Linked DNA regions of Canis lupus familiaris. The protein of the gene in region 1 purifies or fractionates together with the protein of each later gene. This does not show direct contact. Links are inferred from orthologs where the notes say so. Each region holds a gene or a part of one and is shown on either strand. Other genes may lie near its edges.

Region 1 (3,441 bases):
CACAAAAACTGCTTAAGGGCCGGGAAGATCAAGTACAGGAACTCATGGTAAAGTAGGATTTAGATTAAAGGAGAAAAATAAGCCTGAGAGATTGATTAGCTAAAAAAAACAAGTAAAAAATTAATCAGACCAAACAAGCAGAGAGTAGGCCATAGGCAGAGAGAACATTACTGAAGCAACCGGGGGAAGAGTTTGGTAAGTCCTAGTACTGGGTGTTGCTGGACCACAGTGAAAAAAGATATATAAGAAATTAAAAACACCTACTGCAGAGCAATGAAAAACCTACATAAAGCTCTGGACTTGGAAGTTATGAGGATGAAGTGGCTTCTGTGGGGAAAACAGTCTGGGAGGGGACAAGAGTGAACCCAGGTGACCAGCGTGGCTTCCTCTACAACAGTCTGGGCAAGAGAATGAAAAGTAGACGAAGCTGAGATTTAATTTGAAGATAAATAGAAAAGAGAAAGGTATAACTATAAAGAGGCATTAAAGATATTTCCTAGTTTTCTCTGAAGATCCTCATCACTAAAATAGCACAAGTCGATTTATGGGTACCACCTGAAGTTCAGTTTTATTTTTTTAAGATTTTATTTATTTACTCATGAGAGACAGAGAAAGAGAGGCAGAGACACAGGCAGAGGGAGAAGCAGACTCTATGCAGGGAGCCTGATGTGGGTCTTGATCCCGGGTTTCCAGGATCACACCCTGGGCTGAAAGCGGCACTAAACCACTGAGCCACCCAGGCTGCCCTGAAGTTCAGTTTTAAATATTGATTTTGAGATGCATAAGGAGTATTCACAGGTGTCTGGAGTGCAAAGAAACAGAATTGGAAGTGTCCAGCACTGAGATATTATCTGATGTCCTAGGAGTGAGGAGGAGTTACTCTGGCATACAGATATAGATGGGGCTGTATCACAAAGCCCATCCCCGCCTCTTCCAAGTGTTTCAAGAAGGAAGTAACGAACAGCTTGATAAAGGACAAGCGAAGGTTGTTAAGTGTCTAGTGAATTTTACACTAGGGACCACTAGTGCCCTTTGCAAATGGTCCCTCCAGTGAAGAACAGAGATGAAAAGGAAATGAGAAAGGAAAATACCAGGAAACTGATTTTGTGAAATTAAAAACAAAGCAAAATAAAACAAAAACCCAGGACGTCCAGCTGTGAAGAGATGGGGAAAGACGGAGTAACTGGAGCAGGAGGCTTTTATTTCTGGGTATGAGAGCTACAAAGTGGCTGCAAGTGGAATCTAGAAAAGGAATGAGAAACAGAATTAGTAATTGAAGATGCAGTTTGATAATACTCTAGAGCCTGACCTTTGGTGGAAGAAAGGACACTTTGTTTATTGGAATGAAAAAAGCACACATGCAGATCCAAAAGGAAAAAGCATGCCTGACTCCTGGCAAAGATTTCTTATAGGTTTGGTTACTACTGTTTTTTACATCCACATTTAAAAAAATCCAGTTGCATCATCATCATCCTCTGCTACCTGGCAACTGGTTTACTTGCTGTTTTCTAGAAAGTATAATGTGCTTTTTTAAAAGAAGATTTTATCGTATTTCTTTGAGAGCGCGCAACCATGAGAGGGGGCGGTGGCAGAGGCACAGGCCGACTTCCTGCTGAGCAGAGTCCATGAACTCCCTTTTAGAACCAAGACCATGCCATTACGAACCTCAGCCCAAGTCAGACAAGTCAGACGCTTAACCCACTGAGCCACCCCAGTGCCCCGCTCCTTTTGGGTGTACTTCTTTACTGTTACCTGCTTTAACAAGCATAATTTATAAACACCTTTTCCAAAAGTCAAAAATAATATCTAAACATACCTCTGCCTAATCTGGTCGAGTTTCTCAGGGTCTGTAATAACCACCTGTACACCAAGCTTCATTTTTGTTTTCTGCAGGCTGAAGTCAAGGCAAGCAATTTTTGCATTAACTATCCTCTTGGGCATGCCTATAATTGAACACATTGAATACCTTTATAAGAACTGTAACAATGTCACATCTTATAAAATACACCTATTCTTAAGCACAAAAGTAGCAAAAGATATTAAATTATCTTTAAAGACAAAAACTTACATTTTTATTATATTTAACTCTACAAACAAATTTTTAGGGCCATTACCACACGTAATGGTAATTTTAACTTGCATTGCACTTCTCCTAAGTTTTATGTACTAAGTTACACAAGGGAAACCGGAAACCTGGATATACGATTTCCTTTACTCTGGGCTTTACTGAAGAAAAGTAGGTGCAAGTCTTGGATAGCCCACCTGAAAGATGTATAGTAAGTAAGTAGTCCACAAAAAGCAAATTTTCACTTTTAGTACTAAATCCTAAGCCTTACCTTGGGATCCCACCACACAGTTGAGTGCATAGCCACTGATAAGCAAACTCTCTGTCTGACTTCTCCCATGGGCTTTCAGAATGTTAACAGAATTGACTGGATAGCGAGGCTGGCCTCTTACGTCTGTATACTTAACCGCAAGTACAGCATCTACTACCATATTGGCAAAGAAATCACCATTTCTAAGACAAGGGTTAAGGGGAACATGGAGAGACATGGAATGAACAGGTGCACACAAAAATCAAGAGTAATCCAAGGCACTTCCTTTTAGCAATTCATCAAAGAAACAAGCATTAATAATAAAACTCCATCAAAACGCAGGAGTTATCACTACTTGAAATTCATAGTACTATTACACACTTTATTATCATCTCTCCCCCTAGAAAATCAAGGAAGGGAGCAATTTTAATACAGTATCACACGGCATAAAAACTAACCAAGATTTTATCACAAGGATACATTCCAATGATTTTGGAAGACATCGACGTCTTAGCAGCATTGATTAGGCAATCTCTTCCAAGTTCATCTGTGTTAATAATCAGATTTTCACTGATGTATCGCACTGCCTCCCTGTTTGAAGTGTGTGGGAGAAAACATTTGTAAATGCACTACTCAAACTTTGTTTTACCAAAGTGTCAAAATATCTTAGGCACCAATTTTCTGTTTGGCCATTTCATATAGGAGGAGGACACAAATAAATCCTCCCTCTTCAGATCATGGCAATTTTAATCTATCCCATAAGCATAGCCACCAAAATCTATTATTGGGAGAAAATGTGGTAGTCAAATGGGAAAAAAGATGCTAGCCTTATTCTTACTCCAGATATTATTACTAAAATAGCACTTTTTCAAAATAAAATTTAGTCATTAACATTTAAAGAACACAGACTATTTACAACTATAACATCACATAATGTAAAATTTCCTCTGAATGCAAACAATCTTACTTGCAAGCAAGTCGATAGCCACTAATAACTGATGTGGGATGAATTTTCTGTTTGACTAGTTCATCTGCATTTTTAAGAAGTTCTGCTGCAATAATAACCTGTTGAGAAAATATTCACTGCTTTTAGTCTGACAATATGTGCAACACATATGTAAAAACA
Region 2 (3,813 bases), on another chromosome or scaffold:
GAATAGTGTGTCTGCTCAGGGCCCAGCAAGGTGGGTGAAGGTTTTTCACCCTTTTTGCTGGGAATTAATTTTTAAAATATGGCTTGTTTATTGGCCTCAGTCCTCCACTGTAGGTTTCGATTAGCAGACAGCTCTTTGCACTGTGAGTCTTCGCTTGGAGCTGTGAACTCTACCCGCGTCTGCCTGCCTGGTGGGCTTCAGAGCCATGGCAACGGAGGAGAAGAAGCCAGAGACGGAGGCCGCCAGAGCACAGCCCACCCCTTCCTCCTCGGCTACGCAGAGCAAGGCATGTCCCTGAGGGCTTGAGGGGAACTGCCAGGGGCGCCTAGGCCGAGTACTCTTCAGAGATGCTTCTTCCAAGTCTGTTCTCCCTCTTCAGTTAGACACTGTGTTTTTATTTATGGGCCACAGACCTAATCAGTGCTTGTTTACCGTGCTGAGGATCCCCAGACCTGTCCCCCGGAGAAGGGGCTTTATCACAACATAGATCCTTGTTCCTGATCGTAAGATCTCTGCAGCACCCAGAAAGCCTCTCATACAGCATCCCCCTGGTCCACAGTTCTGGTGGCCAGGCAGGTTTGCAAACCCCTTTGCTGGACACCAGGCGGCACATACAGGCCTTTGAGCAAGGCTACAGCCTTCAGGTTTGCTTTGAGGGAGGCTGTGCTTGCCGGACTTGGTGATGCGTGTCGGACGTTGGGGTGGGGTCAGGCCTTGAGGGGCCTCTGTGTTGAGCTGTCCTGGAAGAGCTGGGCACGAAGGTGGGGGCTGCAGGAGAAGCAGGGCTGCCGAGGGGAAATAGCCCAGATTTAAACACGACCAGTTGGAAAGGACTTCCAGAGAGTTCTAGCAGGATTTGGAACTTAGAAGGTGGTTCTGAGTTTGAAGCAAGGTGGTGGTTAATGGTTTGATGACTAGTATTCTCTCTTCAACAGCCTACCCCTGTTAAACCAAACTACGCTCTAAAATTCACCCTGGCTGGCCACACAAAAGCCGTGTCCTCCGTGAAATTCAGCCCGAATGGAGAGTGGCTGGCAAGTTCATGTACGTATCACCAGGGCCTCCGCTCCTGTCAAAGGTAGTCTGTGCTGCCACCAGAAGCCCGGAGCAGGGGGAGGGCTTGCTTTCTGATGCTGCCACTGGGGTGTCGCAGGGGCTGGAGCCCTTTACGTAACACTCTGAGATGATGTGCTCAGGGGAGAGGGGAAGGGTACTCCGGTGCCGGCTACTTCTTTCCATGGGATTTGCACTGTTTCCAGGGCTCCTGTTGTGGGCAGCCCGGATTTTGCCCTTGGGGTGACTGTACCATCACAGTTATTTTGTCTTTCTTTTTTTCAGCTGCTGATAAGCTCATTAAAATTTGGGGAGCATATGACGGAAAGTTTGAGAAAACCATATCTGGTCACAAGCTGGTAGGTTCATCCCTGCACGTGGAGGTTGCCCACTGGCCGCCTTAGCCCCACTGGTGGGTGGGGCCCATCCCCAGAGCTCAGCAGGTTAAGGTCTAAGCTTTCCCCCGGAGTTTTTTGGATAGTTCTTTGCTTTTTGTCTTTTTTTTTTTTTTTTCCTTTTGTCTTTTAAGCAAGTACTTCTGACCTTCCCAGACAAGTTTCTGCCTGACTGCAAGAGAACACACTCTCCTTTGGGGACTGTGCGGTGTTTCGTCTGTGTGGTCAGCAGTAGCTAGAGGGTTTGGGTAGTGGAGTGAGGTGCTTATTTATCTTTGGATGGATGTTCTGACCTTTGCTGGTTAACTGTATTTTGTCCTGTCAAGGCGGTGACCCTGTGTCTTTGCTCCCCAGGGGATATCAGATGTGGCCTGGTCATCAGATTCCAACCTCCTCGTTTCTGCTTCAGATGATAAAACCCTAAAGATCTGGGATGTGAGCTCGGTGAGCTGCTCTGCCCAACCCCCGCCCCGGCAGAGCTTGTGTGCGTGGACAAGGGGCAGGGCGGGAGTCCGAGGGGGGTCTGGGGACCCTGGGTCATGGGGTGGCCCTGCTCTGTGGGGTATGTGCCATTGGGCCGCTGTGGGCTCAGCTTTGAAATAACCACTAGGACTAACAGTCTGACGATACTTGGTTTTAGGGAAAGTGTCTGAAAACCCTGAAGGGGCACAGTAACTACGTCTTCTGCTGTAACTTCAATCCCCAATCCAACCTCATTGTCTCGGGCTCTGTAAGTCTAACCCCCCCTTCCCCTGGGGTGTTGTAGGGGTGTGGGGGTGTGGTACTTTGTAGCCAGAGACTTAGGAGTTGAGCCTGAGTCTTCTCTGCTGGGGGATGGGGGCCGTGGTGGCAGGCCTTGGGTTCCAGAAGACCTGTCCTCTCCCACCTCCCTGTGGAGTGGCCTTAACCTCTTCCTTTGTCTTCAGTTTGACGAAAGCGTGAGGATATGGGACGTGAAAACAGGGAAGTGCCTCAAGACTTTGCCTGCACACTCGGACCCGGTCTCAGCTGTAAGTCCCGCTGAGCTCTGGACACCACATGGCAAGACAGGGTGATGGCCAGAGAGGGGGCACTGGGGACCCCGAGAGAGTTCTCCCTATCCTGGGCCCGTGAAAGGAGAGGCAGGCGAGGGGTTTGGTCCCTGAACCAAATCCTGTGGGACAGGTAGGGCAGCCAGGCCTGGAAGAGGGGCTGTGTGTTGGGAAGTGTGGCCACAGAGAAGTGAATTTGGAGTGGAGTTGGCTTTGATCCTGGGGTGGTGGTGGAATGAGCTGGGGTGAGCTAGCCGAGGGTAAGGGCTGGGGTGGGGGGGGGGTTGGAGCCCCACGAGCACCCTGTGTGTGCTGTGTCCTGCCTTGTGCACACGCTAGCAGTGTGCAAGATGAGGTACGTAGTTGAAGTATCTGCTGTAATACAAACCCTCCATTTGAAAGTGGCCGAGAGATTTTTTTCTTTGTCAGCAGAGCCTAGACTTGTTTCTTAGCCAAGTTTGCCTTTTTTTGGAAAGGGGAAGGAATCGTGTAAACATTGTGCTTATTTTTACTGAGCAGATGGTCCTTTTCACTTTCTGAAATCGTGTAGGTGAGTGATTTTAAGTATTTTCAGGCAATAAAGGGCTTTTTTGCCCAGCTGAGACCATTCGCAGAGCCCAGATACATGGAGGACATGTATTACGTGTTGGTCGCAGTGGACTGAGGGGCCCTCGCTGCCCAGAGTCCCGGCCAGTGTGGATGGGGCTCATCCTTGGGGGCCCCGAGGAAGGCAGTGTGCTGTGGAGAGGGGGCCTGGCCCACCTGGCGCTCTGCCCTCTGCCGTGGACCCCCAGTCCCAGGAGAGCTGACTTTGAGATGGGCATGGTGGTGAATGTGGGCAGGACCCAGGATGCAAGCTGAGTGAAGGCCAGGAGTCCCAGCAGTGCGAGGTGGTGCGGGGGCTGTGGGTGGGACCCTCAGCCTAAGTGGTAGGGTTTATAGAGTCTTTGTTTTCTGTGGAAGTGAAACGTACTCATTTTTTAAAAAAGACAAACGGATGCAGTGAAGAGAAAGTCACTCTCCTGAGCCCTCCAGGACCCCTGCTGGTAGCCCCCCCCCCCCCCCCCCCCCCGCACGCCCTGGGTATTCTGATATTTTAAATATGTGCTATCTCCCACCATCTGTCCTGTAAGTGGTGGGGGTGACCACAGCTATTGTGCGTCCCTGTGGGAGGGTTTCTCGGGCATCTGTGGTGTCCATAGACCCCCATGGGCAGTGGGCACTCTGTGCTGGGGCCTTAGCAGGTGCTTGTTCGTAGCTTGCATTTCTCATGGAGGAGTGCGATGAGCATCTTCGTTGGGCCACTTTACCCACCATGTGTTTCTGCGGTGAGC

What was found.
Region 2: the proteins of TCP1 (region 1) and WDR5 purify together in Homo sapiens (affinity purification with mass spectrometry; 3 studies listed by BioGRID and IntAct, with this or other methods). This does not show direct contact. The link is inferred for Canis lupus familiaris from reciprocal best matches to the Homo sapiens genes TCP1 and WDR5.

What each region holds. Positions count from the first base shown.
Region 1 is NC_049222.1:49,585,061-49,588,501, forward strand, and holds part of TCP1 (T-complex protein 1 subunit alpha), read right to left. Parts: intron 3,381-3,441; coding exon 3,283-3,380; intron 3,131-3,282; exon of another isoform or gene 2,991-3,130; intron 2,907-2,990; coding exon 2,796-2,906; intron 2,519-2,795; coding exon 2,337-2,518; intron 1,944-2,336; coding exon 1,817-1,943; intron 1-1,816. UniProt on the Homo sapiens protein: Component of the chaperonin-containing T-complex (TRiC), a molecular chaperone complex that assists the folding of actin, tubulin and other proteins upon ATP hydrolysis.
Region 2 is NC_049230.1:50,410,136-50,413,948, forward strand, and holds part of WDR5 (WD repeat-containing protein 5), read left to right. Parts: intron 1-100; 5' UTR 101-205; coding exon 206-286; intron 287-935; coding exon 936-1,044; intron 1,045-1,338; coding exon 1,339-1,412; intron 1,413-1,802; coding exon 1,803-1,892; intron 1,893-2,088; coding exon 2,089-2,178; intron 2,179-2,374; coding exon 2,375-2,458; intron 2,459-3,813.